2 linked regions of the Drosophila melanogaster genome follow. The protein of the gene in region 1 interacts with the protein of each later gene in a pairwise test. Each region holds a gene or a part of one and is shown on either strand. Other genes may lie near its edges.

What was found. Proteins that work in one complex are often made in the same cells at the same time.
Region 2: the proteins of CG4066 (region 1) and CG9921 interact in a two-hybrid assay, tested with the Drosophila melanogaster proteins (one large-scale study listed by BioGRID).

Annotation. Positions count from the first base shown.
Region 1 is NT_033777.3:12,309,317-12,313,075, forward strand, and holds the start of CG4066 (uncharacterized protein), read left to right. Parts: upstream 1-2,036; coding exon 2,037-3,759.
Region 2 is NC_004354.4:16,331,797-16,335,555, reverse strand, and holds the start of CG9921 (uncharacterized protein), read left to right. Parts: upstream 1-1,955; 5' UTR 1,956-2,181; intron 2,182-3,433; 5' UTR 3,434-3,602; coding exon 3,603-3,747; intron 3,748-3,759.

The sequences.
Region 1 (3,759 bases):
TTTTGTTGTTTTTTGCTTTAATCAGCGGGAAGCCACATCCACTGTGGTTGCACTTGGATGATGATGAATGTTGAACCACGGCGTATGTCAGGAAGCAGGATTCAGGGTTCCCCAGTTCCGGTGACTTTGCACCCCGCATAGCTGAAATTGTTTTTTCTAAATGCTCTTCTAATTTTCCCTGCTGCTGGTTCGTAATTTTCTAATTTCGCGTACTAATAGAGCTTGTTAGGCGATAGCTTTGTTCGGAAAAAATTAAAATGTATCATTAGGAAATACCAAAGATGGCTTGCATCCATAAATAAATTAAATACAAGTAATCCAGTTAATCCGCAGCACAGTTTGTTTTTAGCTCAGGCCATTAGTTAAACTGCTTAGTTAAGTGCTTGTGAGCCAAATTTCGATGTGCTCTGCCATTCTGCCATCTCCTATCTGAAAGTCATCTGAAGACACCGCATTCAGTTCACAGACGCGACCGAGAGACATAAACAATTAAACTCATTTGACGATTAATTACGCGCCGCTTCCAAATCGCGTGTGCTGCCACCACAGCCTGCAGTAAAATGGAAAAAAATAGATGGCCCGCGGCAAAATTGTTCTATCAAAACACTGGAGGCTACAGCAAAAACTGCGACAAGAACAACACCCACAGCCAAGTACAAATTCATTTGCTGCTAAAGACACAAGAGGAACTTGCATGTCGTGTCATAATCTTGATGAATGCATAATTGCATGCCGAGCTCCCAGCTCCTCATCCTCTTCCCTTTCCCATCCACCCAACGGATCAGCCCCATACTGCCGCGATCGAAATGGGTTTAAATGTCAACCAGCATAAGAAGTCGGAACGGACCCGAAACATAGGCCCATTTCCAAATATTTTCATGGTTTTCAATAGCGAAAAGAACGTGCATCAAAAGTTCTTCTCCAACACTGGAAAAGAAAACTGATGATAAAAATCGGAGTCCAAATTTAATTTGTAACACAAGATATACTTCTATAAATCATTAACATTAATTATTTAAATGTATGTCTGTGATTTCATTTAATAATTTTTTAATTTTTATCAAACACTACTTTTGATTAATAATCTGAATTCCCAAAAAAATTGTGTCAAATGGTAACTTTTTCTAAATTCCACTTGACAAAATATTTTTGTAATTTGAGCTTATTTCTAATACCTAAGTAATTTTTCTGAGTACATCCATGCAGCATGCAATACATGAATTATGCGGCAATTAATTAATGAGGAATATTGAAAGCTACCCACCCAACCCAAACCAACCCAATCCCCATATAACCACCAAAAGCGACCACCATCATCTTGACTCGACCCATTCCGTAGGCATTGTGCGCCTCAGGGAGAGAGCCATATATTGGTGACCCAAATTATTCAATTCATTTTTATTTATTTTTAATTTTTTGATTTGTTGCAATAATTCCCCGCCCCTTTACAGCGAGCCAGAGAGAGCAAAGGGGTCTGCTTGTTTGTGTAACTATTTATTCTAATTTGACCCGCTTATTGAGGGGCCCGCCCTTCTGCGCCCCACTCACCCCGTTGGCCATTAATTGATGCAGCCGCTTAAATGATGAATCACTTTTTCATTAAAATTTGACTTTGAGTGTGACCCCCATGTGACTGGCGTTGACTTTTATGTGGTTAATAGTTAGCTTTCCTATTGATGGATATTCCGCAATTGTCGCTTGTGGAAATCTAGCCATGTGTCTCTTTGTTTTTCTTTTCTTTGTCTACATTTGCAAGTACAATGAACCAGAATCGGTGGCTTCTTCAAACATCAAACTCGTGCTGTACAAGCTGACCCATAAAGCACAGCATAAAACCGATAAAAGAAAAAGTGCACGGTACAAGAAAAAGAATGCTGAGAATCAGAAAGCGGTTGAAGATAGCACACCTGCCACCTGAGACCGAAACGTGAACGTGGGCGGCAATGTAAAGTGTATTTAAGCTGGGGTGAAGGCCATCAAATGGCAGTTAAACTTTTAGTTCTTTTATAAGAACAAGCATTAAGTGCGGTCTGAAAATGTTTCTTCCAATTGCAACTCTTTTGTTGATCTTTACGGGGGCTGCTTTTGCAGCAGATCCCTTCAATCAAGTGGAGGAATTTGTGGACTTTGAGGATATTGACGAAGTGGCCAATACTGAATCCGAAGGAGTTACTGATGTTCCAATCATTACAGCCACGCCAATTTCAATCCCCACAAGTTCTACGAAGACTGGATTAACCCGTGAATATACCGCAGACGGATTAACAACAACGACTTCCACAACACTGGCCTCAATATCTACTCACTCTTCAACGACAGCTACAACAACAACTGATTCCAGCACATCTCATTCAAAGACTAATGATTCCACCACAGATGAATCTACCACAACCGATTTTGCGACCCTGTCTTCAACCACAGCTCAAGCTTCAACGAGAATTTTAAAAACAACTGTTTCCACTACATCTTCAACGACAACAACATCCACAACTTCTCCATCGACAAGTGACTCCACCACAAATAATTCTACAACTACTGAAACCACAACTGTTCCGACAACATCAGCTTCAACAACAGATTCCAGACTAACTTCTTTATCAACAACTGATTCTACCACAAGCGATTCTACGACTAACGAAATTACGACATCGGGTTCCACCAAAAAGGATGAAACTTCCACAACTACTTCAACCACAGCCGATTCTATCACCTCCTCACCAAACACATCTGATTTCACCACAACAGAATCTATAACCGAGTCTTCCACGACTACAAGGAGCACATCAATTGAGACCAGCACCTCGTCTTCACCAACAACAGTTTCCACAACAATTGGTTCAACAACAAATAACACAACAACTTCGGTATCAACGGAAGATTCGCCAACTACCACAACTGAATCCACTACAACCACTGAACAACCATCAGAAGAAGAAATAATTCTTGCACTCCTGGCTGAAAATGCAGGAGCCCTAGATCGGTTTAATACTCAGCTTGATGCTGTCAGCGCAATTAACTGGAAAATAGACGCTGAGCTGGACAACCAGGCAGAGTACCTTGATGCAATCGAAGTCACCGAGGAACTTCTCCGAAACCAGACACAGGAACTTCTGCTTTGGGAAGTGGAACTTCTTCGAGGCGTTGTCACCTCTTTTCAGAACTTAGACATTTTTGCCAACCGATCAATCGAAGCCGTATCAGATTTAACTAGGCTCCAAGAGCAGAATAAAGATCGTGTAAGGAACCTCGTAGATAAACTTAACGTTACCCAAGGACAAATTCTGCGCAGAACAAAAGGATTGGATGACAGACTCAACTTTGTAAATCAACTTCTCCTTGGATATATCGAGCCAAAAGTAAATAGCTTAGAGGATTCGTTTGACAATCTGAACAAATCGCAAATTAATTCTCTAATTGAACTAAAGAACGTTCCCGAGGTTAGAAATCTAACGAAAACTTCCATCAGAAAACTGTCATTCTTAGATAACCAATTGGCTTTGTTCAACCAGACCCAGGAAAATAGATATTACTCCGTAGAAGCTGTCATCAAAGCCTGGACCCCCACTAATCTCAAAGAGATCAATGATCTAACTCACGCTTTAAGCATTTCTCAAAAGCGCACCGACTTGGCAATTGCCATTAGCGGATCTGCGGAGTATAATACTGAAACCTATCCGACCCGTTTTATAAGCTATAAGGGCATAGAAGATATCAACCAAAGTAGGAAAACTAGAACCCCACAGATCTTAGGTGCTGAAG
Region 2 (3,759 bases), on another chromosome or scaffold:
TTTACATGAATCGGGCAAGAAAGTGGAACTATTGTTGGAGAAAGAAGAAGCAGAGCGAGTAGCACCGGTTCCGTTTTGTGAATCGGATTGGATTGTCTTCATTTCGATTCCGATTCCAGGGCTTAAAGTGCAAAACCAGGGCGCCACAGTTACAAAACATGAATGAACCCATTCTTTTTGCCGAAAATAGCCCCATCCTGCTTGTCAATTATGAAAAAGCAAAATACACTTTCCTACAACAGCCAAAAAAAAAAATAAATAAATATTAGAGCCATTTTACGTGGGGATACATATGTATGTAACCACAGAAATATACATGTGCGCATAAATATTTGCATAGCCAAGTGTTTGCACAGCCATTCATTTGTATTTTATGCACACATGGATAAAAATAAGCCAATTTCGGATTACGCAAGCCTGTGATTTGGGTCTTTTCATATACAGGTTTTTATATGTGTATGTATTTTTTTTATGTACATCATATTTTCCTTATTTTTGCACATTGTATCTATTTACGTACATCAATAGGCATGCAAAAAAACGTGCATCGCATTTTGCCAGCATATTTCATAAGAAACGAAAAGCAATGCGGTTTACCGTTTACATCAAGGCATTCACGATTCTTGGTATAAATGTACATATTTGTATATTTATACAAACTAATAAGAAAAATGGCGGACTTGGATGCGCACGCAAAATACAATTTTGATTGTACAGCGTCGCTTTTTTGTTTGTATGCATACTTGCACATACATAGGCGTACACTTTTTGCATTTAGTAACATGCCGATTTACTTAATAACTAAAAACAAAAGCGAGACGCAATGGATGTACAAGCGCTTGCATGTACATACGTATGTAAGTATGTATGCAGCATATATATTCACAAAAAGTTTCCACTGCGGCTGAGAAAAGGCAATCAGGTGCCGAAATATCCAAATAAATAATAAATAAATAGGTGCCTGGCTTTTTTGTTAATTATACATTGTCGTTTGGCGGGAAAATGATTAAAACGCGGCAACCTATACATAAACGCGCCCATGATTGTATGTGTGTTGTGCCATGAGTGTATATAAATGTGTGTTTGTGTGTGCGTGCGTGTGTGTTTTAAATAAAACGCCGTATACCTGCACACAAGCTTACCTGTATTTGATGAAAGTGTTCCATAACTGTGAGATTTCGGATCTAGTCCGAATGTTTCAATCGTGGATTGGCTTTATACTGGGATTTCCGTTCTATATCTTTCACTTTTATTCCTAAATGGTTAAAGCATATATATTTAGTTTTAGCACAAGTACGTATGTATGTAATACGCACACCAACGCAAATTGGAGTCGAGTCTTAAGCCAGTTTTTTTGTCTGTTTTCCTTTTTTTAATACTGTTCTACGCAGTTTGTTGTACGTCGTATTGTATTGATTATTGCATGTATGTATGCATGTACGGCCACAAACGCGAATGTATGATGCACGTTACAAGGAAAAAAAGGAACACGGCACAAGCCAAAACTTCGAAATGAAATTCGAAAATTTAAGAATTTCACAATGCACGTTGTTTTTTTGTACTTCTTTTTTTTTGTCTAGGCCTTTTTCGCTTATTTGTTGTTTGATTTTATTTGTTTTTTTGGTTGGGAAAACGCGAAACGCGGGCGGCTTTGCGGATTTGTTTTGTCGTTTGTATTTAGCTTGTAAAAAATAAACAAACAGCGCTGCATACGCTGAGTTTATTGTATCGTATCGTATCGCTTGTGTTTTGTTGGTGTGGTATGGTATATATGCTATACAGTACACAGTACACAGCACACAGTATGGTATCGTATCAATGCGAATGCGGAAAATACAATATATGAGGTTGGTTCGCGCGCCGCTCGTACCAACAACGAATGAATTGAATTGAATTGCCGTCTCTGCCTTACCTTCTCACTGTGCTTCCAAATCCAAACGGGCGGATAAATGTGTATGCGTTGCGTTGCGTTGGACTGTGTGCGCAATTCTTTGCTGGTGTGCGTGTGTGCGGGAGAGCGAGAGCGCGAAGAGAGTCGTTATAGTCATTTTGTTGGTAGAATTAGTGTTGCTGAGAGAGCGCTCAGTGTCATATACATACATATGTACATACACGTGGTGGAGGGAAAAGGCCTTATAAAACTTTTTGGCCTGTTACTTTCATACAAACATACGATCACGGGTATGTACATAAACGCTGGCGTGCCAAACATACAAACTATGGAGTGTGTGGAGTGTGGGAAAAATACAGAACTGTATGTATGCATATGTACATTACACAGTTCTTAGGGCCAAAATTTATTTTAAACATACATATCTTATTTTTAACTGCCAGCTACATTCGTTAATGCGACGAATTCTACAAAACCGATATGCATCAATGCAAACACATTGATACATAGCCAAGCATATACAACTGTGCTCATGCTAATAGTAGTGCATATGACCGCCACTTTCTAAATTGATGATTTTATATGAATGCTATGTTCAATTTGTCAAGCGGTTTTTCAGAATGAATAAGTTCATATTAATTACTGAAATTATATGTTTTGTTAAAGAGCAGTGCAGGTACAAAAAGCCATTTGTAACTGCTTTGCTTGTTTTGCGACACAGAAGACGAAGCGAAAAAAAAAATTAATTAACAAAAGGGAATACGGAAAAAAACCGTTTGATGCCTTTCAGTGCTATTTCCACGAACGCAGCTGTATGTACATACGTGTGGAACACACAAACATATGTACATCGCAGCGACCCGCTACATACACATACACATTTTCATTTTGTGTGTTCCCGTCTGACTGTACTTTCAATTCGAATTCGAAAGAGAAAAAAATGTTCTCTTATGTTTTAAAACAAATTCTCCCTCAATTCTCTCTGTCATACAGAGAGAAGGAGTAATGCATGTGTGTATGTTTGTAATGTATGAGGTCACAAAAATCCAAAAAAAAAAATAAAATCTCAATTATATTGGCCATTAAAATTATTTATTAATTTTTCCATACTATACTTAAGATTTTCGCTTTAAAATTTATTTGCGGTTTTTTAAATTATTTGTTTAAATCGATTATTTATATATGTATATTTTAATATTTATTGACTTCGAAATACTTTAAAATACCAGCCCTGTTCTGGTTTCTTCGAATTAAAACAATATAAATTATTTTAAATGGTGAAATTAATTTCGTTCTAAAAAATTCAGGTATATTTATTTCTTAGGGAAATAAAGTATTATTTGCTGCTAGTTTTATTATGTTAAAAAAAGGTATAGACAAATTAGTAGATGTGTAATTTTGGTAAAGGGTGTGAACCATATCAAATGTTAATACATGTAATATAGTTATATTATAGCAAATATATTAAAAAAAAGAAAGAAAAAAAAGGCGTTGTTTATTTAAAAATAACGTTTTTCCATTCATGGCTTGTTTCAATCTCAGAACGTTTCTTGATGTTTGTCGTTTTGGAAGTCGTGATAGTTCGAGAAAACTATCGCTTTATTAGTGTGAACGCACGCACATCGTAAGCGTTGGTGTCATCTCCAATTGAATAATAGAATTTGACTTGCTTGATATTGTTTTACTAATATTGCCCGGGACTAAGAGCGATATGTCGAACAAAATTGAAGTCTCGCTTCCGGAGGAGGAACTGGATTGGATACAATTGCGCCAGGACCTGGGACCCGTTGCCGAGGTGGAAACGACCAAGGAGAAGTTGCAGCGCAAGATCAAGGAGAATCCGCTGGTTCCGTTGGGTGAGTGTGTTT